4 linked regions of the Saccharomyces cerevisiae S288C genome follow. The gene in region 4 interacts genetically with the main gene of each other region. Each region holds a gene or a part of one and is shown on either strand. Other genes may lie near its edges.

Region 1 (7,549 bases), on a different chromosome or scaffold from region 4:
ACGTTAAGTCTTGATAATGAAGAAAAGTTGGTATTTTGCAGTCCGAAGTACCTAGAAATTGTGAAAATGTTTTATTATGCCCAGTTAAAGATGGAAGAAGACTTTGGTACGGATTTTTCGAACGATATTTCATTTTCAACATCCTCTTCAGCAGTTAATGCTTCTTACTGCAATGTTAAAGAAGTTGGTGAAATTATATCACATTTGTCATTGGTGATCCTTGTAGGTTTATTCAATGAGGATGATCTCGTCAAAAACATATCATACAACCTTCTCGTGGCAACGCAAGAAGCATTTAATTTAGATTTTGGGACAAGGCTTCACAAATCCCCAGAGACATATGTACCCGATGATACCACCACGTTCTTGGCCCTAATTTTCAAGGCTTTTTCAGAATCTTCAACGGAACTAACTCCATATATATGGAAATATATGCTGGATGGCCTTGAAAACGACGTGATTCCTCAAGAACATATTCCTACGGTTGTCTGTTCATTGTCATACTGGGTACCAAACTTATATGAACATGTATATTTGGCAAATGACGAAGAGGGACCAGAGGCGATTTCACGTATAATCTATAGCTTAATCAGGTTGACGGTCAAAGAGCCAAATTTCACGACAGCTTACCTTCAACAGATTTGGTTTTTACTGGCATTGGATGGTCGTCTCACGAACGTGATAGTTGAAGAAATAGTAAGTCATGCGCTGGATAGAGATTCAGAAAACAGAGACTGGATGAAAGCTGTGTCAATACTAACCAGTTTTCCAACGACAGAGATTGCTTGTCAGGTAATAGAGAAGCTAATAAATATGATCAAATCTTTTCTACCTTCTCTAGCAGTTGAGGCTTCCGCACACAGTTGGTCTGAGCTTACTATTTTATCAAAAATTAGTGTGTCAATTTTCTTTGAATCACCCTTACTTTCCCAGATGTATTTACCGGAGATTCTTTTCGCTGTGTCTCTGTTAATTGATGTCGGTCCTTCGGAAATAAGAGTCTCATTGTACGAGTTGTTGATGAATGTTTGTCATTCTTTAACCAACAATGAGTCCTTACCTGAAAGGAATAGGAAAAATTTGGATATCGTCTGTGCAACATTCGCACGTCAAAAGTTGAACTTTATCTCCGGTTTTAGCCAAGAAAAAGGTAGAGTTTTACCAAATTTTGCCGCTTCCTCCTTCTCCAGTAAATTCGGAACATTAGATCTCTTCACTAAAAACATTATGCTATTGATGGAATATGGTTCTATTTCAGAGGGTGCACAATGGGAGGCAAAATATAAGAAATATTTGATGGATGCGATTTTTGGCCATCGGTCGTTCTTCTCTGCGAGAGCTATGATGATTCTAGGTATAATGAGTAAGTCGCACACGTCCCTTTTCCTTTGTAAAGAACTTTTAGTTGAAACCATGAAGGTCTTCGCAGAGCCAGTTGTGGATGATGAACAAATGTTCATCATTATAGCTCATGTCTTTACTTACAGCAAAATTGTCGAAGGGTTAGATCCTTCTTCAGAATTAATGAAAGAGCTATTTTGGCTTGCTACAATATGTGTTGAATCCCCTCATCCTTTACTCTTTGAAGGTGGTCTCCTGTTCATGGTAAATTGTTTGAAGCGACTGTACACGGTCCATCTTCAACTTGGATTCGATGGCAAATCGCTAGCCAAAAAATTAATGGAATCTAGAAATTTTGCTGCTACGCTTTTGGCTAAGTTAGAGTCATACAATGGATGCATATGGAACGAAGATAATTTTCCTCATATTATTTTAGGTTTCATTGCAAACGGTTTATCCATTCCTGTCGTAAAAGGAGCCGCATTAGATTGTCTACAGGCCCTTTTCAAGAATACATATTACGAAAGAAAGTCCAACCCAAAATCCTCCGATTATCTTTGTTACCTTTTCTTACTCCATTTGGTCTTAAGTCCTGAACAACTTTCTACCTTGTTACTTGAAGTCGGCTTCGAAGATGAACTGGTACCTTTAAATAATACACTAAAAGTGCCACTTACTTTGATCAACTGGCTAAGTTCAGACTCAGATAAATCTAATATAGTCTTATACCAAGGAGCACTTTTGTTTAGCTGTGTTATGTCAGACGAACCATGTAAATTCCGTTTTGCTCTATTGATGAGGTATTTGCTCAAAGTCAACCCTATTTGTGTATTCAGGTTCTATACGCTGACTAGAAAGGAATTCAGGAGGTTATCAACCCTAGAACAATCATCTGAAGCGGTTGCTGTCTCTTTTGAATTGATTGGGATGCTTGTTACACACAGTGAGTTTAATTACCTAGAGGAATTTAATGATGAAATGGTCGAACTTTTAAAAAAGAGAGGCTTGTCAGTTGTGAAGCCTCTGGATATTTTTGATCAGGAACATATAGAAAAGTTAAAAGGAGAGGGTGAACATCAAGTGGCAATTTATGAGAGAAAAAGATTAGCAACAATGATACTGGCAAGAATGTCGTGCTCCTAATTTTAAATTAGAGTATTGCAGTGATTATATACGTTTTTCCTTATAATTATATTTTGTTTTATATTTGTTGGATTGTAGATTTTAAATTAAATGAAACGTAGAGATTTGTGTAAAGTATAATGATTGCAAGGTTAAGAGTGAAACATTTTTAGAGCACTACTAACTAGCATTTTCCAAGGTGGAAAGATCCGAAAAAGCACGATTACCGGAAATCCAACTGTTGACCATTTCCAAACTTGCCTCCGGTTGATCATAGGGCACCATATGACCGGCATCGTATATTCTCAAAAAGGTGAAAGGGCCATAGTTCTTGACTTGTCCCAACTCTTCACCTGTTTCTTTACTGACCCATGGTCTTAACATCCTTCTCTGATACCTACGTTTATTGATCCATTCCAACTCATTGGACCAAGCATGGTTTCCCAGCCAATTACAAATATAATCCTTATCACCCGCATATATTAATACCGGAATGTTGTGATTTAATAATTCAGCAATATATTGTTGAAATGGTTTACTTCCATCGCCCGTAAACAAAAATCCGGTGAACACGTCATTATCACAGCCAGAATAATTATGCACGTCGGACCCTAGCGTTTCTTGAACTTCAGGAAAATTCATATACTGGTCGACATAGCGGAGACCTGTATAACACATACCATCAGTACTATTATCTTCACAGGGCCCTCTAATGTCATAGACGTTGAGTCCTGTGTTAATGTACGGTTCCAAAAGTGCAGAGTCACAGTAAGCAGTGGCGACTATGCATGGTAAACTTGATTTAGAAGCATAACATAACTTGTTCAACCTACGACAACGACCTGCAGCTTTACTCATTTTCTCACATTCTTCTGATGAGAGAACAGGGTGATAGCCCCCTTTCCCGCATGCCATTGGTTCATAATAATCTGCTTGAATCAAAGGGTCTGTGATACCATTACCAATCATAACTGAAGTTAAATTGAACGTTCTTTCAGGGTTCTTGACAACGATCTCATGTGCAATTTGAGGGATATAATGTCCTGCATAGGATTCGCCTGCAATGTGGAAATCGTTGGAGCGTAAATGAGGAAAAGCTTCAAAAAACAATTCCAGGAAAATGTACGCATCTTTGCCTGCTAATTTTGTAGAGGAGACTTTTTCATCACCATAGGAAAAGCCGACTCCGAGTGGCTGTTCTAAGAAGATCATTGAAGCGTTATTATTCCAAGAATAGGGATTGTGGATTGGTTTCATATCGGCGCCAATTGATGAGGGGCCTAGTTCAAATAGCAACCCAGTAAACGAGGAACAACCAGGTCCACCATTTAACCAAAGAATAATTGGGTCGTTAGCAGGATCGTTCCTACTTTCAAAAAACCAGTAAAAAAAGTGTTTGGAATCCTTATAGTCCATGTAACCCGACCATTGTTTTACGGTGTCAATTCCTAGTTTAGAAGGATCTACTGTTCTAAGTCTCAAACTGTAATCTGTGTCCACAGAAGAAATAAAAGTTGTAAACAGCGGATCATCGTGATTCAAACGGTCCAATTTAAGGGTTTGCTGTGTATTCTGTGGAAGCTTTAGCTGTTTATCCAAATTGGCAAAGGTGGTATCATCTTCAAAAAGAGAAAAGGCTCGGCCGAATGAGGCGTATTTGATGCTAATAAGAAGCTGAAGCACGAAAACTAAGTTTAGATACTTCATTGTATGTCGGTATCACTTTTTGTATAGCTGTTTTAAAGAAAAAATGCAGGATGACAATTTTCGTTCTTATATAACCCCTGTCCCCTGACATTTTTCGATAACGAAGCGTTATCTCACCTTTCGTAGAATGCTAGCGCCGCCTCGGCCATTTTTAGGAAATTTCCTAAATCGCTCACATTGTAAACAAGAACATCTTAGAGAACTCTAAGCACTTTTAGAAAAAAGGATTATACTAAACGAGTCAAAAACTATTTATCCAACAAGTCACAGATTGGAATAGTCTCGAAAACTTGATCCAACCACTAATTAAAAGGTTAAAATTAAAGGATGGAGAAAGATCAAATCCAGCCTAGGGTGTTGGAGTCAGTAGACACAAACTCATTATCCTTGCTTTCGTCCAATACCAGCTCAAATATGAATAGCAACACCAACAATAAACTCAGTATAATTGCCAGTGATATTTCTACAGGATCCGTACTTTCCAGGCCCTTGACTCCTCCAGTCGTCCAGGATATAGAGAATAACTCCATGTTACAATGGCAATTTGAAAAGAAGGAATTTATCTTCGATAGTAACAGCACTCCTTCGAAGCAGGCAAAACCATTGCAGAGAAATTCTCCATACCAAGGCAATAGTCAAAGTGAAAATCAGAACCAACAGTTATTGAATGTAAGAAAGCGTCGCTCACAATTGATAGGTGCCAAGCCTAAAATTCCATCCAAATTGTACCAATCTGTTTCCAAATTAGATCTAATTGATGACAAGAGCTTTACGTCTTTGCCAATTGCGCCTCCATGCAATATCGAAACTAATGAAGATGACAGTGGAAACAACGAATACAACAACAATAAAAAACGGCCCAGGTTGAATCCTGTAAATGAACTGCGAGTGCATAACAACAAACGTAATAGGTACGTCAGTTATGGGCCGAGTTTAGATACAAAAAACTACGAGCTAACAGAAAATACTTCTCAGGATATACCACCGCTAGTCCTGGTTGAAGACTACATACCGTATACCCAAAGTAAATCAACAAAAAAAATGGTATCTATTTCAGATTTGAAATCAAAACTAAGTAAAAGAAGAGATAATCATATCCCGCTGAGAGTAAAAAATTCATATTCTGAAATTAATAAGGAAACCAATAGAAATAGCTTTGAACCGAATTCACTAACACTGATACCCCATATATTAAGGAATACTGAAGAAAATAGGGACGAAAGTAACAACCCCTTAGATTTTATCAAAGAGGAAATTGAAATAAGTGATATTTCCATACCAAATTCCATTGAAAATATGGTGGTTAACTTGGTTAATATTCCATCTTCCAATAAAAGTTACGATGATCTTTATCTATCGGAATTAAATGTTCATTCCCAACTGAGGAAATGTGTCATCTGCGAAAAGGCCCTATATGAAATTAGCTCGAGACTTTTAAATTCAGGATACTATAAAGAAATTGTATGTGAGCAATGCACAGTTAGATATGAAGAAGCCGCTAAAATCTTTGAGAACTGCGAGTTCGAATCATCTATGGATGAATCAAATCTAAGCAGCGGTACTTTTAGTGATCTAGAGAATTCAGCAGAACCGTTTCATTTATCGACAGATGTTCCAAAAAAAATAAATAGGCACATAGAAGATAACAAGATCGACCTTAAAAAGGAAATATCAAAAAAAAAGGACAGCTTCTCTAAGGAACTAATAGAACGATTGCAGTTGCAATTGCTAGAAAATGATAAGTCAATCAAACATCATTTTAATAAAGATGCAATGGGCTCTAAATCAATGAATTGGTTTTTGGAAGCAAGAAGAAAATTGAAGTGGAAGTGGAGAATAAATGGTTTACTTCCGCATTTCTTACGCAATCAAAATAGTGATCGTTTAAATTTTCAACCTTGAAAATACATTGCTAAGAGATCACTAAAACAAACAGGACTGCATTGGTGCTGTGTATTTTTTCAAGGGCAAAACAATCAATATATATATGAAAAGCTTACGACTAAATAACAGTTATACTAGTAACGGGTAAAAAATATTCTATGGTGTTCAAGCCTCTATTTTACTTCTACCTACATTCTCAATCCAAATTCAAATCTTCTTCTAGACTTTCATTAGCAAATGCAATTAAAGAGCTGACTGCCATTAAATGGTCTTCTTCCTGCTTCAATCCACTTATAGTTAAGCAGGCATAGGGGTAGTCACTTCTCTCCGATTGTATTAGGACAGCACCTCCATGGAAAGCGTATTCTTTTGAGTCCACAAAAAACTTTTCCTCCGGTGTTTTGTCACCTTTCTTGCAGCCCATATAGAAACTTGAATGACCAAATCGAAGCGCTGTCTTCTTCTTTCTCTGGATCCAAAAATCATTGTCCAATGCACTGCCACCGTAGGTCACTGTGCGAAACAAGCAATGCCCATTTGGTAAGGAGATATCAATTGCAACTGGTTTTTCGGGGAAATTTTCTTTAACTGCATTTCTTATGTAAGTCCCCAAATCAAAGGCATCTTGATATGTAAAAGTAGACAAAAAGCATCGTTTTTCCATATCTTCGAGCTCTTCTAAGGGAACCTTACGAGAAGTCAATCTTTCCAATAACTTCTTGTCTAAAACCACCATAATAATTTTCTCCGTAGACTTTTTTTGAATAATTTGCTCTTATAATAAGGCTTGATTAGGTTGTTTCTCTTTTGAAATGCGAGATAGTCCTTAATATTATTACGTACGTATATGTTATGTTAACTTATATGGTGTCAACATCCCTGTTAAGAGAGATAGTATGACATGAAGCGGGGATAAGTATCTATTAACTCCGCCGGAGAAAAGCACCTGCAGTGATGGTTAGATCAAGAGGAAGTTCGTCTGTTGCCGAAAATGGTGGAAAGTCGTTACCAAAATGGAAGCCAACCAATATACATCTTGCTTAGATTGTCTTCTGATGTTGCTTCTTGGATCAATGTTTCTGTTTGGCCAGCAACACTCAATACCAGGCCATCCTGCGGATCTATACCGCGGATTTTGTTTCTTAAGACCTTTAGCGCTTTTTGAATTGAGTGGTCCATGTTTCTATCGTACATAATTGTTTCGATCACATTCATCAACGCTACTTCATTTTTTCTCATTAAAGCCAACGTGACTTCACTAGACTTCTTAAATGTTCCTTCTGTCCCAATTATGCCCAACGCATCCAATAAATTTGGTGTTAGTCTGAAGGGAACAATTTCTGGGACAGGTAACCTTTTGCCTTTCTCAAATAAACAGTCGAAGTCTACATGAAGAACTTTACCCGTCTGTATATCTAGTAATATGTTTTCACAGTGCCTATCACCTAGACCTAATATATGGCCAACCATTGCCATGACGGCGTAAGATCTGGCA
Region 2 (7,883 bases), on a different chromosome or scaffold from region 4:
ACCGGTGGCCAGCATTGGGTCTAATAGGAAGACATACCTTTCAGATATATCCTCTGGTAATTTTTCGTAGAATAACTTTGGTAAAGCAGTCTCCTCGTCCCTTTGAATTAAAATTTTACCGATACGCACAGACCTACAACAGTCTCTTAATCCTTGCTCCATCGATTCACCAGCTCTGACAATGGAAACACCACAGATTTTACCCATGAATGAGACACCTTCGAAGTTTTCGTTGGTGTCAGTTTCCACAATTTGCTTTTGCACAGGTAGATGGTTCAAACCTTCTTCAACCAACAATCTGATGATTCTATCGGAGTAGAAAATGAAATCAGGTCTAGTTGTATTCTTATTTCTGATGATGGTGTACAAACCCAGCAATTGGTTTGTTTGAGGTAGCAAGTAGACGTTCTTAAATGGTTCCGAAGACATTTTTTGCAGATTTCTAGGTTTGCTAACGAAAGACCCTTTGTTTGGATAATATATAAGATATGTAAGGTACAAGAATGGAGAAGCCAAAAAGAATAACGGGTTCATGGTTCAAGAAGAAATGAAGCTAGTATTGGAAGAGGATTCTTACCAATATATATATCTCTTTTGAGGCAGCTTTGAAAGAAGAAGTGAAAAAAAAAAAAATTTTGAAAAAAAAGACGGAAAGGGAAAAGTCCGCCGGAGATAATTACAACTGTCGATTTTTTATGCGATGAGATAAGCTTATAGAAAAACCGGCCTTTCTGTTATTGCAATGACCTGCTTTATAGTTTATGAAATAATTACATAGGTCGATTACTAGTAGAATGAGGTATTGTTATTAGGCAGTCATGAGAAAGCATGTCTTCAAAAAAATAGTTTGTGGCGGGGATTTTGCTGATTAAATACCTTGTGAGTGTCGTTGACAAACTCTAATACGACAAGTGGGACGATTCATCAGATGCAATCACCACTTGGATGCGCCTTCCATCAACTAGAGCGCCATGGAACAGTTTTCTTACCTTCTCCAAAGACTGTGTTGTAGGATATGCCAGACGGACCTTAGCGGTGGCAGATCCTGAAGGCAGGTCTCTAACCCTAATTTGAGCTATCTGCACCTGAGAAATGTTTTCCAGAACATTTTTCAAGTTTTCTTGGTTTACTCCCAAAGTTAGGTTGAATAGCATTAACAATTTATCTGAAGCATCTGAATTTGTAGATATCACAAGCTGGCTGCCACCTTGTATTTCTTCGCCAAAATGTTGTCGCTGCAATTTAATATTAGTGGTAAAATTCCGAGAGTTCTTGGCCCTGTTCATGCCGTTTGCTTTTTCGCTCTGCCAATCGGTTCCTCTGTGGGCATTGCCCCAGTCAGGACTGCTGTTTATGTCTTTGTGGGGCCTATTATTCTTTATTCCCTTTTTCCTATTTCTTTGGGAAACATTAGTTCTTTTATCGATAGCACCCTGTGCTTCTCTTAACAGTACACCGACGTCATTGCTGCTTACTAGCTTACCGTTGACAACGCTAAATCCTTCTTTAGTGTGTTCTACGGTTTTTTTTTTCGCTACGCCAACTTTTTTAATCTTGTCCATGGGAACCACTCTGTCTATTAAGCGTTTACTTTGAACATTTTTCTTGGAGGTTGTTCTATTTCTAGCCATTTTGTGCTCTGATAGATATTTCTGCCTGCTCCAATCTAAGACATTGTATATTTTGAGGTTACTATGATCTCTAATCAATTCACGGTGTGTATCTTCTAAAAAATCTATGGATGGACCTTTTTTTTTTTCGCGTTGGCCCTGAAAGTTCCCTTACCCGGTTGCTTTTCCTGACAAATTTCTGTAATGACAGTAAATGAGGATGAAAAGTAGACTTTGGATACAATATCACTGCAGATTCGGCAAACTGAGGTGTTGATGTAAGTTGTTCTCACCGTGAATACTACCTCATCAATATGTATTGGGTAAGTGCAGCTCTTTTTTCTACCGTAATATTTCTTTGTATGGTAAAGTCTCGAACACTTTTCCTTTCCTTTTTTTTTATATTTCTTTTTATGCTAACTAATTTTTCTCTCTTCGAAAATCCAAAAAGAAAGTTTCAGTCGTACCTGGTACCTTGAGTCGCGATTCTTCGTAGTACAAATTATAAATCTAGACCCCACTTTGATTACTTTTGATGCCAAACGTTTCTTTTGACCTCTTTCCTTTTTACTAGCATTTGTAAAAATATCCATGTTTTTGTAGCTCGAGGAATACTATATAAAGGTGAACCTCCTCCTCAAAAATAGCCAACATTAACTTCAATACTTCATGTAATTTAATTTTTATAATCTGTTCAGTCAGCATATAAAAAATATAGAACAGAATCAAACGAACATCATAATTAATCTACCATGAAGTGCACTTTAGTTTCCACATTGTTTGCCATCACCAATATTCTAGTTGCACATGCACAAGTAAGCAACTCCTCAGACACGTTGGACGTACAATTTGCGAATAGTACGAACTCGTACATAGAAGGAAAATTTAATTCGACTGATGAAGCCTTCAACAGCAGCGCATCTTGGTCCTTAGCAGCTCAGCAGAAAAAGATATCTAATGCAGCTGTATATGATGTGGGTGGTTGGAATGGCTCATTGTATCGTTCCAATAGAAGCGCTGTTGCAGATCATCAACCCGGCAAAAAGCAAGATGCCGCTATTTCACAGATCAGTGATGGTCAAATCCAAGCCACTGCGTCTGGACCTGAGACTACCGCTGCTACTACCCCAAGTAGTACCGCAAATGTCTCTGTCTATGAAGGTGCTGGTATGAAGGTTGAATCCAAGAACATGGGTTATATAGTTGGAGTAGCAGCGCTATTATTTTTATAATTTGGCCTCCAAATGTAAAAATTGTACAATTAAGGACAATAGTATTTTCATTTTATAAAAAATATGTACATGTTAGAATTTTATAAGCCGAAAAAGCAGTCATTTTACCAGTTGTTTTATTCTTATCAGATGTCATATTCATGAAAACATAACACTGGCCTACACATTACACTGATTTTGTTCTTTAGGACAAGAAGTTTTCCAGAAAGAGTTTGCTGTCATTCACCACCAGTATATTATCATATACAGTATAAGGAGATGACATGAGTCGTGAGAAGTAGTCAGCGAACTTTATGAGAGCTCAAATACAAGGATTGGTAAAGCAATAGTAAGAATTGAGTAAAATTATTACACAACAGTTGGGATTTCGTTGTTGTGAAAGGTTATAATATTAGGTTTTCAAAAATATATTAAAAGCCACCCTCGAAGATACAATAATTCCAAAAAGGGTATCGATACTTTTACACAATATTATTCTATTACACTACTAGTCCTTGCGTTTCAGCTTCCTTTATTTTTGATGACTTTTTTTCAATCTTTACGTAATGTTCTTACACACCATGTGATAATACACTACTAATGTGACTACTAGTTGACGGATGATGATGTTCCTTATTACAGCAGTGTCAAGCCAAATGCATACATCGTATATTAATGTGCGCCACGTTTGACGTTTAAGTGTCACTGTGCTATTATAGAATAAAGAAAATGTTAGCGAGTATTTCATACAGTACTGAAGCCGAATTGAAGATAATTGAACGTTGCTGTGATAATTATTCATAGAAATATTACAGAGGATCGTATTAAATGTTTGGCAACTACCAATCATTATTGCATTGATCATAATCAATAATGAATGACAAATATAAGATGGGGAAGAAGTAATGATAATATTATGTAGAAATATCGATTCCCTTTTGTGAACTTCAAGATCTCCGAAGAGAACTTCTAGTATACTCTGTATACATAATATTGTAACATTGATTAACAATTGAATCTCAAAATTATCAAATTATTCACCCAATCTTCATTATTCACCAAATATTCCCAACTATCAGTAGTTCTTCTGGCAACTAATAAAATACTTAACCTATTCTATGTAGATATGAAGGGAACTGATAACAAATAGTAAGCGGATTTAGCTCAGTTGGGAGAGCGCCAGACTGAAGAAAAAACTTCGGTCAAGTTATCTGGAGGTCCTGTGTTCGATCCACAGAATTCGCATATTTTTTTAACGATTTAAAATCATTAGTTTATTTAATACTTATAGAAACTATCTTCCTCAAACAATTCTTCCCTATTAAATATACCAGATGGTAGAGTACCGCTTGCAATCAACTTGACCCCTTTCGAATATACCCTATCTGCATTTTCTGCATCCATTTTTTGATAATAATTTTGAAACGAACCTGTTTCTAATATTCTTGAAAATGTCCTTGGCACATCCTCTTCCGTAGCTGGGAAAAGTGCAGTTTCCAAGTGAAAATTTTCTGCTGAGTTAGGTAGTATAGAGAAAGAAATATTTGAAAGGGAGAGTTCGTTACCATAGCTTGTTTTGCATTCAGAACGTGAGCCTATCTCTGGTCTTAGATAATTCTGTTCCATTGATTTCTTCTCTATTGTTATATCATAATTTTCATGAGGTAATTCATTGATTTTTTTGAATGCTAATGAGCCTACTTTGAAAATATTCTCATGTTCAAAAGAGCGTGCCGGTTTCAGTTCGATTTGCTTCATATTAACAGAAAAACTACTTGAGTAAACTAAATCCTCCTTTTCTAAACACCCTTCCATACCTCTTGAAGATGAACTCGGATATTTCAGAGAGGAATCTGGACATTGATTTTTCAAAGCACCCAGTTTGTTCTGGATATGTTCAAGAGTCTCCACCCTTTTATTTGGCCTGAAGAACGGATCCTCATTTTCCTTCGAAGCTTCCATTGGTGTGGATTGACGAGATTTGATAGGCGAGATGGAGGCCCCAGAGTTCGGTGCACCTAGCGCCACTTTGGATCGCCTTTTCGAAGGTCTTGCATTTAAGCAACTTTCATTTAACGGCTGCGCCATTGATGGCATTTTTCTTTTTGTGCTGTTTTGTGAGGAATTGACACTCGACGGTGTTCTCACAGTTATTCGCTGAGATGACGCATAGTTAGAAGGTGATCTTCCTCTAATAATAAGAGGAGGCGTTTTCATTTCTTGCAAATACACAAACATCCCTTTTGATCCATTTTTTAAAGCCAGTTCATCATAAGGAATTCCGGGATTCTCCCCATGAAAGGTATCTGGATCTACCACTGCACCTAAAATTACATGCAAGCTAAAGTGTTTATTTTGTTGGGATGGTTTCTTCACGCTAATTGATGAAGCAAATTGAACTCTTTCATAACGGGCAACTTTCTGAATAGAATCTTCTGGATAGGAAAACAATAAAGAGTCCACTCCATATTCTTCATAATTAACGTGGTCTCTGTGCAAATAAAAAGTGGAATCGTATTTTTTCATTTTAGTGATATTTCGAACATTTGAAGCTTCTCTTATGATTTGATGTTTTGGCAAAGGGGAAGGCACCAACGGACATACTGAAGGACAAAATTGAGGACCTTTGTCGCGTTTCGCTGTATGCTGGACGAGATTGATTTCCGTGTCGTCGTCGTCATTCTTAGCTTTTATTTTGATAGCGAAATATTGCACTCTTAATCTGCTTTCTACTGAAGAGTCTTCAACGAGAAGATCAAAACTGCTCTTTAAAAAAGTATCCAAATCACAATTTGCCGTTTCAAACGTTGATACTAAGGTAAAATAATTTCTTTTATAACCTACCCACTCTTCATCAATATGGTCGAACCCTCTGTCAATTCTTGGAATAATTCGTAAATCTAGTGTTCTTCCGGTATGAGACTCAACGACTGGACAATAATCTCTCACTAATTCAAATGGAGGTCCCACTTTGAACTGTAGTGTTGATCTAGGGGCAATTTTTAGTTTCCTTTTGTCGAAATAATTCGAAGTGGTGCCATCTTCATTCAACTGCGTAAGGATAACAGGCGTATCCTCTTCCTGTTCTGTGCTTAATTCCCTCTCATATTTGGATACGAGATCATCCTGTAATACTGGATCTGTGTTTTCCATTTCATTCATTTTAAGCGCTTTTTATAATATTGTTATTTCTCTTTAATGAAAGGTTAGTAAACTTTCAATTTTTTGCTTAAATAGGTGACACAAAATGGAGGGCAATTATAAGGGACCTTGGCTTTTCGAAACAAAAGACAACCGTTCTGGAGCTTTGTCAGAGAGCTGGGCGGTTGTATAGAGGACAGGCCTCGAGATATTTGAGATCTCGTTTTCTACTCTTTTGTGTCATACGGCCTGGCCGATTTTCTGACACTTTGCCCTCCAAGCCGCACCTGAAGCAGAAAACGTCAAATAGCCGCGGAAGTAACAATGTAAAGTCACATATACAGTAATAGGAATGAAACACTATGTATATTCAAGGACCTTTATAGTTCTATAATATAACGCTATCTATTACACAAACTTGAGATTGAAAATCTCACAGGGCGATAGATTCATTGTTGTGCCTTGTTTTCGAATAAAAAAAAGTAGATACAAAGTGCGATTTATGTCAGCTTGGAGCGCTTGATGGATAAAGCATAAACGTCCAGGTACTCAGTAAATTCATGGATAATGTCATTCATAAACATAATGTGAACACCTAGTGAGAGACCGAACCCAAGCCAAGATAGGGCAAAGACGATTTTATTAGACTCAATTCCCCAAAGGGATAGACATATTTTGTACAATACTATCTGGCACAAAGGAATTAACATGGGTGCATTGAACATGGGAAAGCTCTGCTTAGTTAAATGGCAAACGATTATTCTTCCGACGGTAAATGCTCCCGTGAAACCAACGGAAAGGATGAAAGAGAGTGTAATAAAGCTTGGTTGCATCCACACTAGTAAAGCAATGCTTGCATAATAGGCAAAAAAGGGCAAAAGACCTTTTATAGCACTATCTTGCTCAATTTGCGTGATATTGTTGGCCGAAGAAGTGCTGTTTCTATAATACTTATCCACGTTTCTTTTCGCAGACAATGCGTTCATAACCAAACCGAAAACAGCTAGGGAAAAAACAATATCTAGAGTGTCTACATCAATTACCTTATCACCAACTGTAATTGTAAATAAGTAGGTATGCCAGATTACCTGTTTTCCGTATATACCTGTCAGTATCAATGAAACGCAAACAATCAGGATGCCTTCCACGGGTCCAGAAAACTCACTTAAGTATAATGTGTGTGTATGGTACTCTTCCCAAGTACTTAAGTAAAAATTCGTCAGCATCGCAAATTGGGATAACATTAAGTTATACGAAAATCCCATTCCAGTTTCGGATGCGAAGATGAAAATAGACAGAGTAGAATTAATGGCATCAATACTATGATCGAATAGTTCTCCTAAGGGTCCTGATTGATTGATACGGCGAGCGTGTACACCATCACATCCATCGAACGTTTGATATAGGAATACACCTAAAGCGTAAGAAAAATATGTCCAGCGAGGCGTATCTGTGTTAAGGTTTGGATCGTAATAGAATACAGTCAACACGTTGATAACTATAAAAGCAAATCCTGATAATGTGATGATGTTGGGCGCCATCCACGTGGGAAATATGTGACAAAATCTTTGCCAAAATGGCTTTAAGAAATACTTCGATACCAGCGAGCGGTCTTCACTTTGATATCTATCATGAAAAGGAATAAAAATTGTTGAAAGTTAGTAACAATGCTTCTGACTTCTGCACTTTAAAGGCAGCCAATGGACGCTTCACATACTTATATGACTTTAGATTTTCGATATGTGAATCCGGAACAAAATATCCCATTTTATACCTTAGCTTGTTTTTCTTATTCTACACTTCTAATTCCTACTACGATGCCATTGTATTCTTAGCCACAACGTAATTTCTCGACAAATATACGTATGCTCAGTCCAGCCCTTTCGCACAATTCCTCGCGTAAATATGGAAGCTTGTGAAA
Region 3 (7,998 bases), on a different chromosome or scaffold from region 4:
TAATCCCCAGCTTCCCTCAAAAGATTTAGTGCTTTAAGATATTCCCCTTTTTCTTTATATATCTCAATTAGTAACTCTATCCTAGGAAGTTTATCATCATGTAAATTAATCTCTCTGATAATTTCGTCGTAACTTTCGCGTTCAAACATATCAACAGTTATAGTTTCCTTTTTTTCCAATCTTAATTTGAATAAAGTTATATCAATAGTTTTCATTATATCATCAAAGTCATTCGTTAAGAGTCCAGTTTTATTCTTTTTCTTTAGTTCATTCTTCATCATCAGAAGCATTTTTAGAATATTCTCGCATTTGTTAGTTAGCTTCAAGCTTTTCAACCTTTCAACTATATTTATTAACCCATGGAAGCACCAGATCTCGCTATAGACTTTCCAGCCAAACATATAAAATAATATTCTGATGTCAACTTTGTCAGAAAAGTCACACCACTTTTTCATTACCTCATCTTCTATGTGATCGTAATGTAAGGTCATTAGAAACAATAAAAGAGACATCAAATATTTCGCTTCAATGTGCTCAAATTTTGTTAAATCCTTCTTCGCAAGCTTTTTCAATTGATCTTCAATATTATCAATTTCGGACTCTTCACATGATGTAAAACGTAAGACCATCGGCGTTGGAACTAATAAATGAATCCCTAAATTATTATAAACGATTAAAGAGGTCTTTTCTTCATAAGACTCTTCAACAAAGGCGCGTTCTCTTTCAATTCTAAATTTATTATCACTATGTGTCAGAGGCTCAAGTCTCAACTTATTGAATATTTTTTCTTTGAATTCTTCAGAATTATTGGTATTAGTGAATACATTGTCAGATTTTGAAATTTTTAAATCCGATCCAGAAGTAGTTATACTTTGCAACAACTGGGATTTTTCACTCGGCAAGGCAGAATATATGTCAACCGACTGGAAAGCAGACTCAGCGATTATGTAGGGAAACTCAACAATTACATTTCTTGGATAATTTTTTAGCACTATAGTTCCTTTTATTATGTCGCCATGATGATTTACCACTAAGGCCATCGCCCCACTATCGTATGATCCTCCTCCAGAACAAACTAAAAATTCACTCTGTTCATTGAAACTGGTTATTATAGGTTCTAAGTCTTCGTCAGTCTCACTTATTCGAAATAATGGAATTACCTGTGACGACTTTAGATTTATAAGTTCGTAACTATTTAACTTCGAAACCATTAATGTTTCTTCGTGCGCACAAGCTTTATCTATTAGTTTGAAATTAAAAGCTTTGGTAAGTACTAATGAATCTGCAGATATTTTGAGTAGTCTTACGCCTTCTGCGTGAAATGCATATATTCTATAAGCCTTCGAGCTTCGGGAAAAATTACAAATAACGACATCACTAATACCTTTAAGTCTAGTTGTGTTGGGCCTTGGTGCAAATTCTGGGAGAATAAATAAAACTAGTTCGTTATCACATAATATTAGTGCGCCTTCTACTTTAGGTAAAAGAAGGATTTTGTCTATCTTCGAATTTGATTCTGCATCAAACTTTGTTTGCGACACAAGCATATAGTTTCCACGTTCAAGTTCAAAGTAATGTAAAAGATCACCTGTAGTTGTTCCCAAGAATATGTGGTTCTCATACGCCTCACAACATGTGTATATCAAGTCAGATGGTACATTGTCTAATAGGGTAGAGATTGTAAAAGGACCTTCGCTTATTTTCAGTGGCAACCCTTTTTCCTGTTCATCATTCGTGGAGGTTTTTTCATTTAAGCTTGTAATATCTGTATTTATGACATTATCTTCTGCGCTGCTAGGCTGACAGCTTTCTTGTGCTGTGTTTTTATCAGTATGTGGACTGTCTTCGATTGGTCGACTCTCTTCCTGGGAAAATTTATCAGCTCGTACTGTTTCATTTGGGTTAGCATTATGTGTATTCGTCTCTTCACTTTCTGTTGCACGTAGACTATCATCTTCTGTTTTTTTTTTGTCATTTTCTCTTTCGTGAGGTGAGGATTCGCTATCTATATCGAGCTTTCCTTCATTTTCCTTTACTTCTTTTCCTTTGTCATTATTCGTTTTCTTTTTTACCATGGTTCTATAATATTATGGTTGCAACCAAAAAAAGGTAGTCTCCTTGACTGTTATGATAGTTCTGATTCACTAATGTCGTTATAAAATAGTAAGTACATATGAATATTTCCAGTTAAACTTGCCTTTTTTTCCCATCGGAACGGTATCTTCAACAGATATTATGCGATGTAAGGAGTTTTTAGGAGACAATTATATATACCTGCACTTTCAATGAGATCAAGCTTTTTATTATTATTGTACAGATGCTTATATACCAAATATTGTGACTTTATCGTAGAAAATTTATTTTAACAATTTAGCCAAAAGCTGAGAGCCTTTGTTACTTTCATCAGTGGTGATTTTACTCTGAACTCCTCTCAAATCCTTCAAAAATGGTTTCCCTTCTTTTTGATCTTTTAACGTTTCATACAGTGCAACAATTGTAAATGAACTATCAGCGTTATTAATCCATTCTAACAAGTTGGAGGAGTCAATAATTTCATCGTATAACTTTTCAGCAAATGGAACGCCTAAGCCTTGAACATTTTTTAATGGTATGACCTTTTTTTCTTTGTTATTCCATTTACCACCTTGAATTAGTGCCTTTAATAGTCTAGTAGAAAATGCTCTATGTATTGGGTGCTCTTCTTCGGTTATGTCACCCTTAAAAGTAGTTAAAATGTTGTTTAAGACCTGTTGATACTTTTCTTGGTCTTTTTCATTCAGCTGCGCGTACAACTCATCGTTTATTAGAACTTCGGCAATGAACTGACAGCCTAGATTCTCTGTCAATATACTGGAATAATCTTTTGATATAGTGCTTAAAAACATGGGGGCGAATTTTGACAAAAGTTCGTGCCTTCTTTGTAAAGGATCCTTCTTAGAGGTGGCTTTGGACAGTTCAATGTATCTCAATAATTCATTCTTGACGATAGGTGAGAAATACTTACCGTCCAAACCTAATAGTATGTATAACCAAGGCCTTCTACCAAACTTATCAATTATGAATTCTTGCAAATGTTCCTTAACAGTAGGACTGAAAGTCTTGAATACTAAAACTGTATCGTCAACACAGTTCAGAATTGTAATGAAGACAATATTACCGTACTCATTTTTGATCAATTTTTCGGCGTGGTTTTTCAAAGCCTTTAAAATTAACTTTCTTTCCTTGGCGTTAGCTCTAGCAACCAAAGTACAAGCAACGTCTGAACCTTCTGGAGTATGCACCAATTCAGCGAATTGTTCATGAAGCAATTCGATCATTTCAGATATTTCCTTTTCGTTGGCTATTTTCACATATTCTCTCATAGCAGCATGTAGAATTTGAAAGCCGGTGGAACCCTTTTCTACTGATGCGGTAATGGTACCAATCAAGTTTCTGGCGATAATATTCCTTTTTTCAATGCTACTTTCACAAACTTTCTCAATGGTCAAATCTTTGTGGGTTTCTCTAAATACAGCATATTCAGAGCCCCAAAACTCTTTAATCATTTGTTGTCTTTGTTCATGTGTGGCATAAAGAACAAATAAATCTTCAACAACGTAGGCACCCTCACGATGTCTCATTAATTTTCTCAAAGAACCGTGTAATTCATTTATTATAGTTTGCCTTGAACTTCTTGAACCATAATGCAGTAACTTAACCAATAGATACTTACCGTACGCAGATGTGGCTAGAACATAAAATTTTCCCTTTAAAGCATCGACAATTTGTTCACGACGATCTTTGGACGAATACTTGACTAAAGTTTGAACAATACGGGAAGCATCATGCTTTAAGACAAGATCACTGATACAGTCCTTAGATAGCTCCCAGATTTCGTTGGAAAGTTTTTCACGAATCTGTTTTGGTAAAGGTGGGGTCTTCACACGCAATCTTTCCCAGACGGATTTAATTTGTTGCACTTGGGTACCAGATTTTCTTTGCATTTTCCTTTCTTTTAGCAGTTTTCTTTGTTCAGTGTGATTTCCATTTTCACCTCCTTCAGATTTGTCCTTTCCTTCTTTCTCTTCATTCTCATTTTCATGTTCCTCACTGTCATCGGAAATATCTAATTCGTCAGCTTCTTCTTCTGCTTCAGAGTCACTGGTACTTAAATCATCCAAATCATCATCATCTGATGAAGAGGATACAGCATCTTCCTTTTTGGATAGTTCTGATTCTTCATCAGACGAATCAATAGAAATTCTAGGTTTTTTGGCTAATTTCTTTTCTGAATGACTAACTTCTTTAGCAGAACGTTTTCCGTTTGTCTTCTTGGTTAAAGGTGCCATTGTCAGTTAATTTGTTATTCCTGATTGTGCTTTATTTCAGTACTCTATAATAAAACGCTTTCACCTTCGAAATACTTTAGGTAGGCATCTCATCTCATCCCAGCAAAAAAAATTTTCAGTATTTCTCTCAAGGTGAAAAAAAAAAAAGGTCTTCAATGCCGGGTTAGTTAATCTTCTATATATGCATACAACAATTAGTTCGACTTAAATACAATGAACTTTTTTCTATCTTGTAATTTATTTTTATTTATTTTCTACTATGTATTTGAATATTCAATTGCGTCTCCTTCCTTTTACCTCGTGAAAGGACTATATATCCTCTATAATCTCTTGAGTTGGTTCATATTTCAATTCATGAACTCTGGCAACTTGCTGTTTTCTCTTCTTGGCCAAAGCTTTCGAGGCTTTGATGTTGAACCCGTCCTTCAAAATAGTTTGTACCTCTTCTAACTCCAATCCCGATAATTCTGGATAACAGAAGTAGCAGAAAATGGTTGATAAGCACGACAATCCCGCGAAAAAGGCAAATGTACCTGCAGGAGTGATATTCTGTAACATGGTCAAAAATGTGGATGCAATAACCAGTGAACCAGCCCAGTTTGTAGCAGTTGCATATGAAGTCCCAATACCTCTCACGTTTTGGGGGAATAGTTCCGATTGTTGCCATGGAACAGTACCGATACCAAGAGCGTAGAACGCAGCAAATACGATAATAAATACGATGATCACAATACCCCAAGAGGAGAAACCGGAGGAAACCACCACAGCGACAGCGCCATCAAACTTAATACCTAGAAAATGGAAAGCAATAGAGCACACGACTAAAGCCATGGTCATGCCTGGTAATCCAATCAATAATATGGTTCTACGGCCTATTTTGTCAATGGAAAAAAAGGCAACTAAAGTGAAAATAAAATTGGTACCGGACACGATGATTGAAACAGCGGAAGAATTTTTGAAACCGACAGTTTCGAAGATGGTACCAGAGAAATACATCAACGAATTCCAACCGGTAAACTGTTGAATTGCTTGTAAACCACAACCAATGATCAAAGCCCTTAGATTAGATGGTACTGTGTGCAATTCTTTGATGGTATTCCAGACTTTTTCAGGGACATTCTTACCAGGAATAGATTGATTCAAAGTAACAAGTTCTTCCACCTTACGTTCAATGATTTCCTCCGAAGTGTCAGTGTAACTTCTCTTCAACACCTCAGTAGCCCTTGCCAAGTCGCCCTTCATAACGTAGTATCTTGGAGTGTCAGGTAAAAAGCACAGGCATGTGAATTGCACAGCAGTGGGAATTAGTGACAATCCAACAAGAATTCTCCAACCATTGTTGACGTAGTTTAACCCAGCACCGCAACCGTAAGCGACTAATTGACCACCAGTCAACCATAAGGAATTGATGACAGTTAGTCTCCCTCTGATCATTTTGGGAGCAATTTCACTGATGAAAAGTGGCGCGATCAAGGAGCCGATACCGACACCGAAACCCATGATCAGTCTACCAACAGCCATTTGCCAGAATGTGTGTGCGGAGACCTGTAAGATTGCGCCAATGACAAACATCAGATTCGAACCCATTAAACAACGTTTCCTACCAAATATGTCAGCTGCAGTACCGGCGAAAATACTGGTAATCAAAGCTCCCAGAGAGGTAGCCGCAGTGACAATTTCCTTCTCCCCATAAGTAAGTACCTTGTGGTCCAGATCTGTGCCGATCGAGATCAGCGCACTGGATATATAACCAGTGTCGTAACCAAACATGAAACCGGATATGGATGCGACAAAAGTCAGAGTGATGATGAAGGGCGAAAGAGATTGGTTAAAAGTGATCATGACCGACGTGTCATCCTCGTCGTTCACGGGTTTAATTTGAATCCTATCTTCATCATCGCTAGCGGGAGCCCTCTGTATTTCATGTGACTCAAGTGTAATTTTACCTCTCTTTGAAGGTGAGTCATGCTCACTGTTGAACTCTACACTATCAGCGTTGCCAACGGCATCACCAACATTTGATTGCGATGTCTTTGACGTGAGATATGGTATGTGTATTCCCATTTTAACACCCACTGCAGAAACAAAGAAAATGAAAGAGATGTATACAGTAGGACGACCAATAAATCTGAATAGCGCACCAAACTGAAAGAGAAGAATAGAGCAAACACCTGCCAAAGAAAAGCCCAAGTGTGAAAGGTCTTTTCTCAACTATGGCTTGATTCCTTTTATATTTTTTCCATTTTGCAACAGCGCGTTGAGCTTGGTCGAGCTTTTTTCACATGCGGTGGGGAAGGCGTATTTAGCGCAACCAGTGGGGGGTATAAGCTATACCTAACGCATGTGAAGAGAACAGAAACAATGGTGAGAGAAAATAAATGGAGAGGATGGAGAGAACTAAGTATATGCGCTTATTATGTTATATAGATGTTAAAATTATCATAGCTCATCATGTGAGACGATCCTGTCCACGGCCTCATCGACAGCCCGCTGGATACTACTGACGGCTGATACAGATGCGAATGGTTCCACAGAGGTTGCTGAGGATGTAGTTGTAGTGGCTAGAATGGGTGCATTTAGCACAAGACTGGGTGCTTGAAGAGAGGACGAGGAGCCTGCATAGCTTTTAACTAGACCTAGGGTGACGAGTATACCCTTGAAAAACTTGAATAGCAGCCAGAGGCCGAGTTTAACAGGTAACTTGAAAATACGACGCCATAGAACCCACGAGACGCAGCATAGGAGGAACCCAAGTGATAAATAGACATCTCGTTTCTCTTGATGGGAGGCATTTTCCAGTACTTTGACCAAATCGGCAGTTTTCTTGAAGACGGTTTCGAATTGAGTGTACTTGTCATCGATTTGTGTTAAGGAATTGGTTTGGGCTCTCAATTCATCCAAATTCAGGTCACTTTGTAAAATTCCGGACTGCAAAATTTGATTTCCTCTCACCAAGTTATTCGTCAGTTGTTTTGTTTTGCTCAAAAGCTTCTCTCTAGTGCTGGCTTTTTCCATCGATGTGGACGTTAAGCTTGACGATGACGACGTTCCTTGGTGAAGCTTGTCGTAATCCACAGCGTGAAATTTTATAGCGCGGTCTCTTTTCTCGTCGTTCCAAGCTAAGTCACGTTTGTGGTGTTGTCGTAGAATCTCTTTGACTTTCAGGCGGTAGCAATAGAACCAATCGACGAATTGCAACACGAAATCCAGTTCTTCGACCAACTGAGCATATATGTCCTCGTTCATTTGTTTATCAAGCTTCACAATATGCAACTTATCGCATTGATCGTATCTAGGGCTTTTTTCCCACTGTAATTTTAATTCGGGGTATTTGTAGGTCATTTCCACAATACTACATTTCAGTACCGATTCGAAATCTGAAACTTTGCTCTCTATAATATTCACCAAATCCTCAAATTCAATCTCTTCTTCTTCATCATTGTGTTCGTTGGCAATGGCTGCAAAACTGTCCTTATTATCATGCTTGCTTTCTCCGCTTTCTTTTCTGCGGGAGATTGCACTTAATTTTTGCAAATTATTTAATAATGCATCTTGCAAAACTTCCAGGTCCTGCAAAAATGTCACGACCATAATCTTTAATGGCTTTATAGTTTGTTATGCGCCTTGGCAGCGTGATCCGATCTTACTTGTTAACTGTATATCAGGTATT
Region 4 (7,430 bases):
AATTATGCCACGATTTAATCAGAATAATTCCAAGCGCTAAACAAATCGCTGAATCAAGAATACGCGATCGTAACAAGGATCCATTAACAGGAGGTATGAGATTTGACACCATCAAATTCACCATTCATTGTGTAAAATTTTGGACTAGAATCATGGAATCTGGGTTGGTTGTTCTACATCCAAATTTTAATTTTCAGGGTGTTTTCGCCAAGTTCTATAACCTACATTTATTAGATTGTACGACATTGAGAGTAAGCGTGATCAAATTCTTCCCGTTCTTGGCAATATCTTGTTACCACACAATGAGAGAAAATGCTGACCAGAAGAATCTATCCAACATAATACTGAAAAGGTTGTTGGTTCTTGTGAAACGTGAATACGCCGCAACAAAATCAAAATTTATGACTGATCAAAATGTCGCTTTACAAGGTATGTTCCAGATATTTTTGGAATTAGGTGTCACCAGGCAACTCCAAGCTCTACAAGTGGCCTGCCAGAAACATGAATTGGCGAATATATTAGAGTCTGATATCACTTTATAGAATGTAAACGGCAAATTTTACATATAATCATTATTTTTGTTGCATTTGCTTAGATCTTATGTAAGAAAATAGATTTTCTACTCTCTTTGCATAGGATACATCCGCAGCAAAATTATATTCCGCATCATTTGCGGTAAATAAAGCTTCATTCCGCATTTCTTTATCTCTTTTTGCTTTAGATTTTTGGAAAATTTCTGAATCCATATGAAATAGAGTTTTTCGCTCCCCAAAAATTTTGCGCAATTCCATTATGTTTATTGGTTGAATGGTCCCTTTTTCTGACTTAAATGGTTTATTCTCAACATACCATTCGCCGACGTCATCTGTTATCTGCAAAACTCTATCGGTGTTTTCTTGTATATCAATTTCTAAGCTGGATAGCCATTCAGAAATTGCATCTCCGATTTGTATTGGCAACCTCCACGAAAACTTATCACTAAACTTATCGAAAAGAAAAAATTTGTGACTTTGTGTAACCAACAAATTATAGAAAGCAAAATAGAAAAAATCAGAATCAGAGTAGTTTTTGCAGACTTTCAACATCGAGAGAAAATCGTGGGAGGTAAATTGATAGCCGATTTCATTCAACTGGTTATACAATGCCAGTAGAGTAAGTTTGGTAGAAATATCTTGAGAGGCGCCATGAAAGAGGCAATGAAAAGTGGAATTTTCTTTGTTTCCAACTATATTATCTGTGAGTAATAATGGCTGCCATAAATTTTTTTCGTATACTATGTGCTCGACCAATGAAAGCATAAAATCGAAATCCTTGCGCACAGATAAGTGACACAGTAGCATATCAATAAAAAAAGCTCTTAAGGAATGCAGGTTGGACTCAGCCTGCATTTGGTCATCAACCTCCTTAATGTGCTTTTTCCATACTTCTAAGTTCAGAGGCAAATCACTTAATTTAAACGATAGAAATTGAAGAAATGAATCTTGCTTGAGAGGTTCGAAATTATCTTTTGATAAAATATGTATGCTCTGCTTCAAACTCACGTCAGTTGGTAATTTTTCAAGTCCGAATTGCCTAGTGACAGCGGTAGTTGATGATAATCCATTCATGGTTTCAATAACTTTGAGGCAAGAATGGTTCTGGGATAATTGTATCAAGTTGGAGGAATCATGCTGATCAAAATGAAAGTTCCATTCAGACAAGCTCCTTAAAATCTGACAAGCTTCATTCTCCATATTTTGTGCTATCATTACTTTTAGACTTTTGACTAGGCATGGACTAAATAACTCCAACAATTGAATAGCTCTTTCACGCTCCTTCGAACCTCTTAAACCAGAATCCGGTACACATGAGGATAAAATATCCAACATACTTGTCCATTGGGAGGTCTCCACATAAAATGCCAGCTGGGATAAATTGGCTAATAATTGACCCTCCGAATTTTCCGCGAACAACCGCTGTATTGCCCTTAAGTAGTAGTTCGATTGGGATTTAACAATTAAAAGAGTACAATTCCTCAAAAATTTTATGTTTGCCCGAAATTTTCCTTCTATAGTTAAAGATTTGGTTTTAAGAAAATAATAGCGATCCAATAATTGCAATGAAAATTTAGCTAGTGCAATTTTGTCATTTGCGGACCGAAGCGATAGTTTATAGAGCATATTAGATAGCTCATGATAAAATTCCAAAGGCAGCCGATCAGGTGGGAATGCATCAATCTGTCGGCCACTTTTATTTAGCCATTTTATGTGACCTGTGCCAATACGATTCAACAACGCAAAATACAAAGCAGGATTATCGGATGTACGAAGCTTCTGTAGAGTAGTCAGTACCACATTTAATCGTAAATTTACATTTTGGAGCTTATCTTCATTCAGTTTATCTTTTCTTGTTAGCGCATCCTTCAACCATTTATCAGTTATTGAGTTAGTTCTTTTGTTATTTGGTAAACGTTTATGCGATGATGGCTGTCGCCCTAGCTGTGGTAGTATTTCAGGAGTGATTAAAGAGTCCTTAATCAGCTTACCAATATGACTAGACGAATATCTTTTAAAAAGTAACTTCATATTCTTCTTGGCACACTACTATCATTTTTTCTCGCCGTTTCTAGTAGAAAAGGGCAACTTTTACTTAAAAATCATACAATTGACTTACTTTTTTTTTTTTACACAGATACCTTTTTATTTTGAACTACGCGCAGTTTGAAAGAGGAAGAGATAATCCTATGATTACTCCAAAACCTTCTTCTTTTTCGGTATTGCCTGAGAAATGATAACACTTTTGGGTAACTTCCTTTTCCAGTCTGAATTTATACTTTCTAGTTTAGGGCCTTCGTTATTGCACAATATCTTTTTGTAATATAATCTCTCTAATTGACTTAAGTGTTTTGCAATCCAAATATGTTTGAGACCTTGCTTACTATTTAATCGTTTAACTACGTCAGTTTGCAAAAGGTCTTTGACAAAACTCTTGGCATTATCTGAAACAATATCCCACTGCTTCAGTTTGAAATTCAGCTTCCCAATTTTTGCATTTTGAATAATACTCCTCTCAGAACCATCTCCATAAAAAGGCGAGATCCCTGTTAACATAATGTGTGTAATGACACCCAAAGACCAAAGATCACATTTACTGTCATAACCTCGTTGCTCTAACGTAGCTGCTCTTGAGAAGCTTTGATATGCTTTTCTGTTTGCTCTGAATCCAACTTCTGGAGCGCAGTATTCCGGAGTGCCTACGACAGTATGCATTCTTTCTTTGTTGGAATTTAAATCTTTAGCTATACCAAAGTCTGCCAAGACGATTCTAGTGCACGGTTCTGGCGTACATAACAAAATATTGTCTAGTTTCAAATCGCGGTGAACAATGTCTTGATCATGAAGGTAGTTTAAAGCTTGCAAAATTTGAAAGACGATCAATAGCGATTCAGTTTCTGACATGGAAGTTAGACAGTCGCCTTTAGCTAGGTAAGAAAACAAATCACCACCAGGGATAAGATCCTGGAATATGTAAAGGTGATTGTTCCTGTCACAGAAAGTATGGTAGACTTTGATAATATTTGGGTGATCCAGTCTCAAAAGGATTCGAGCCTCTTTATCGAATTTATTTGGTTTTAGTTTAATGATCTTCACAGCATAATTTTCAGGGTGATAACAGACATCTTCATCACGTTCTTTTGAGTTATGCGTGATCAGAACATGACCGAAAGTGCCATTACCCACTATTCTATTTGTTATTTCCCATTGGTCTACTTCCCTCAGAAAACCCATTTGATCTAAAAGTTTTGGGTCCAGAGAAGATTGTAAATCATCATTAATCATAAAAACTAGTCGTGTTTTTTTAATGTCATTTTCTTCACTTCCCTGCGATAATTCAATAACGTCGCAATGTTTTAAAAGATACGTTTTGTCCCTTTTCAAAAGCAAACCGTTCAAATACGTTCCATTAAGAGAACAATCTTTAACGTAGAACATTGGAATACTATCCTCATCAAAAAAGACACACCAAAACACGCAATGAACAGAGGAGATAGAGGGATTCGTTAGAACGAGTTGACATTCCTTATCATTTCTCCCAACTTTCACGAGCTGATGCTTTACTATAGGTATTGTCTGCTCTGTATTATAGCCGCCTACATTAACTTCCAGGTGAGCAGGAGCTACGCCACCTGCCATCTCAATATCATCTTTGGTTGCAAGGTTGCAGCTATACAACGGTCTCATTCCGCTCTTCTTCTTTCTGTTGTATATTTGGTCCTTAATAAAATTTGAAACGTACAAGAGCACTCCAGAAGGAGCTCAAGTAAAAAATTAGTCAAACCTCTCCCTTTTATACTTGAATGAATGAAATAGCCGCCGAAATTTAGCCGCCATCATTCTTCTTTTCCCCGGCTAAATTACCACGGTATGCTTTATGATTGGAAAATACCCATAAAGTAGGAATAAACTACAAATGATTCCACTTAATGAAAGATAAGCAGACAAATATACTGCATATAAGTGAAAAATAGTGAGGAGATCGCTATCAGTCAATATTGTGAAGGACCTACCTACTCTTTTTCTAGATATATATTTTTTATTTGCACAGGACCCCTCTTGCATAATTGTTCCTACTAATACGGTAGGTAGCACACAATTTTACACCACTTGCTTTACAATCATACCTCATAGGGCCTTCTTATTCTGATAATGCCCCTTTTAGAATGGCTAAACTGCTTACGTCCCGCTTTCTTACGCACTGCGCGCAACATGCAGGAAGAACAAACAACCTCGCCCTGTTTCCATAATGAAGGTCCTTGAAATAGAAGCCCCACAAAAGGGTGGAAATGTGGCAGAATAAACAGTAAGCTAACTGTTGTAGAGACTCCAAGCCCTGGTAAGGAAAGAAATATTATAAAAATAAAAGATTTCAACACAGTATTTTGATGTCTGAGCCAAACACACCATTACATGCTCAACCGAATGAGCAACTGGACTTGAACAACTTAAATGATCTAGATGAAAAAGACATTGATGATTTAAACTTGGATCCAAACTCAGATGTAGAAATTAGTGCAGACTCAGGTGATGTCGTAAATTCTAACATAGACAACGTTATATGGCAGCGTAATTGTAATAAGAAAAGAAGATATCATACACCAGAATTCAATGATGTTTACAATGAAACTAACAACACAATCAACGACGTAACTATGCTCGATGATGTTGACGATTTCCAGCCTAGAATAAACGTGTCTTCTCCCTTTTCGTCTGCCACAAAGCTGAGTGAATTATTGCCAAATGATCACAATGGAACGTCACACCCGAGAAGATTGTCAATGTCTCAACAATCCAAATTCATCTCTTACGTTGATGATCAGCTTTTACAAATTCAAAGAAAATTTGTTCAATCCAGGGGCCTGAATATCAAAAACGGCTATGCCAGTCTTACTCCGCTGCTGCAGGATTTAAAAACTTTAGTTGACTTCGTTTGGTATTCTATTGCCCATGTTCCAAACTCAGACTATTTACTTCAATCAGAAGAAAAGAGACATTGCCCAGATTCCCGAAACCCAAAAGATACATGCGGATATTCTAGTTATTTTGGTCAAGGGTCCTATTTAATAAAAATTGCGGACGATCTCATCGATTACGTTGAAAAATTTACATTCAAAAATATGGAAGACTCAGAGATTAATGACACTTTATCCAAATTATTCAAACTCTTCTTCATCCTTGACAGGATATTTGTAATTCTAACTGATGATAATGATAATTGCAAAGAAGTCCCTAAAACGTCTTCAGCCAGCAAGAACATAGCAGGATTGAATGGGACTGATATTGTGAGGTTAAAAGGTATCGCGGAACGAACAAGAGTTCGCCTACCCATATTTTTGGAATCCCAGGGTATCCATGGTTACCATTATGAATTAAGCAAGATTTACGAGGGATTTTTAGACCATGCCAATTCATTTTAACATTTACATTCAACCAGTGGCGTGTATCTTTTATACAATAAATCTGTAACTTTTAAAACTTCTGTTTCCGAACTCCTCATTTTTCATGCATAAATATATAAATATATATATATATATATATAAAGCATACATTTCAGTACCATGGGGTATATGATCCTCCCATTACGTATTCTAAAGTTCGCGTTTTCTCACAATGCAAGTTTTTATATTACTCCGGAGAGTTGGCGCTTACTGATACAGCCTTGTATGAACTCAAGTCCAATATCACAGTGACATCCTTGGTAATCTTCGCCAAGTTGGCTAGGTTAGGTCTCAGCTCATTCAAATTAGGCACGTCGCTCATTACGATTTTAGTATTAGCCAGAATTGATATTATTACTTTTAAGAACGAATTCATTATCTCCCACGTTTTCAGCTTCTCCAAAGATGTCAGATACTTCTCTGAATTTGAATCGTTCGGTATTAATACATTTAACCTTTCATTCAATTGTTTGGATAAATCCATCGCTTGACGACATGTTTCCGTCAAATCACGAATTTTAGGTGCTAGCGAGTCCGTCAAAATTTGCTTTCCCATGGTGCTAGCAATGGCTATCTTGGATATCTCTGAAGTTAACTGGTTATATACAACGCTCACCATTTTAACTACTGTGGACAACGTTTGATACAGTTGAATGTCAATATTTGTCTCCACTACATTAGCACTACTGTTCGCGGCACCACCACCATTCATCGGTGGTGGGGTTATATTAACATTCGAGACGTTATTACTATTTGATGCGTTAATTATTGAAGAAGTCATAACCGGATGCTGTTTAGGTTCATGCGCCTGTGACTCTTTTTTCGAATCGCTGATGGATTTATTGTGCTGAAGCAGCTGTTGCCTTGGAATAGTATCGCTAGTAGTTTTTACTTCATTCATGTTCGTTTGAGAACTTCCATTGCTTATTGCATTTTGGTGTCCCAAAATTGGACCATGGGTGTGTGCACCATTTAGATTTGGTGATAAAAGAGGAACAGCAGTGGTATCACCCGTCAGAATATTACTATTTGAAAGCAATGCAGATGCAGATGGTGTTCTTGTGCTCCTTGTTTTCGGCAGTAATTTTATGTTTCCGCTACAATGTGTACTGGTCGTACTTGCTGCGGGTCCTCCACCGCTTGTGATACTACTGGACGATGTCTCGTGCCTCGAAAAAGAATGTTTCTTGGGTGCCTTACTTGCAGAACCGGACACTTGATCATCTTCTTTGATAAAAGACCATGCATTATACATTTCCATATAAGCACACATTAATGTCATATAAAACATCCTTATGAAGCATAGATCGTCTTCTTTGAAAAAAATCTCAAAATTTTTTCTCAACAATGTTATAATTTGTTTAAAATTTGTGATGATAGTGAGGCACAGCTTGATTAACGCCTGATCATGCGATTCGTCTTCGTTCTCTGTTTGCTGCAAGACCTCCACCAGATT

The links.
Region 1: mutations in MEK1 (region 4) and ATG42 together harm fitness more than expected from each alone (negative genetic interaction), as found in Saccharomyces cerevisiae (3 studies listed by BioGRID).
Region 2: of MEK1 (region 4) and NDT80, changing one enhances a phenotype caused by changing the other (phenotypic enhancement), as found in Saccharomyces cerevisiae (2 studies listed by BioGRID).
Region 3: mutations in MEK1 (region 4) and PUF6 together harm fitness more than expected from each alone (negative genetic interaction), as found in Saccharomyces cerevisiae (3 studies listed by BioGRID).

The regions. Positions count from the first base shown.
Region 1 is NC_001134.8:512,285-519,833, reverse strand, and holds ATG42 (carboxypeptidase C), read right to left. Parts: upstream 4,171-7,549; coding exon 2,644-4,170; downstream 1-2,643. Other genes in the region: GTPase-activating protein IRA1, read left to right, coding at 1-2,484; YBR138C (uncharacterized protein), read left to right, coding at 4,498-6,072; YBR137W (uncharacterized protein), read right to left, coding at 6,251-6,790; protein kinase MEC1, read right to left, coding at 7,060-7,549. UniProt on the Saccharomyces cerevisiae protein: Vacuolar serine-type carboxypeptidase involved in vacuolar zymogen activation, breakdown of the autophagic body, and autophagosome-dependent protein synthesis.
Region 2 is NC_001140.6:354,661-362,543, reverse strand, and holds NDT80 (transcription factor NDT80), read right to left. Parts: upstream 5,984-7,883; coding exon 4,100-5,983; downstream 1-4,099. Other genes in the region: FUR1 (uracil phosphoribosyltransferase), read right to left, coding at 1-429; YHR127W (uncharacterized protein), read right to left, coding at 900-1,631; ANS1 (Ans1p), read left to right, coding at 2,363-2,842; YHR125W (uncharacterized protein), read right to left, coding at 3,381-3,686; EPT1 (bifunctional diacylglycerol cholinephosphotransferase/ethanolaminephosphotransferase), read right to left, coding at 6,463-7,588, 7,680-7,729. UniProt on the Saccharomyces cerevisiae protein: Transcription factor required for successful completion of meiosis and spore formation. Gets activated after completion of meiotic recombination at the end of prophase I.
Region 3 is NC_001136.10:1,439,076-1,447,073, forward strand, and holds PUF6 (Puf6p), read right to left. Parts: upstream 4,329-7,998; coding exon 2,358-4,328; downstream 1-2,357. Other genes in the region: CORVET complex subunit VPS3, read right to left, coding at 1-2,075; myo-inositol transporter ITR1, read right to left, coding at 4,638-6,392; SEC20 (Sec20p), read right to left, coding at 6,768-7,919. UniProt on the Saccharomyces cerevisiae protein: RNA-binding protein involved in post-transcriptional regulation. Component of the ASH1 mRNP which transports the ASH1 mRNA to the distal tip of the bud, where the ASH1 protein is translated and targeted to the daughter cell nucleus.
Region 4 is NC_001147.6:992,292-999,721, forward strand, and holds MEK1 (serine/threonine protein kinase MEK1), read right to left. Parts: upstream 4,221-7,430; coding exon 2,727-4,220; downstream 1-2,726. Other genes in the region: CIN1 (Cin1p), read left to right, coding at 1-542; MNE1 (Mne1p), read right to left, coding at 573-2,564; TFIIH complex subunit TFB6, read left to right, coding at 4,922-5,953; SOG2 (Sog2p), read right to left, coding at 6,162-7,430. UniProt on the Saccharomyces cerevisiae protein: Probable protein kinase required for meiotic recombination.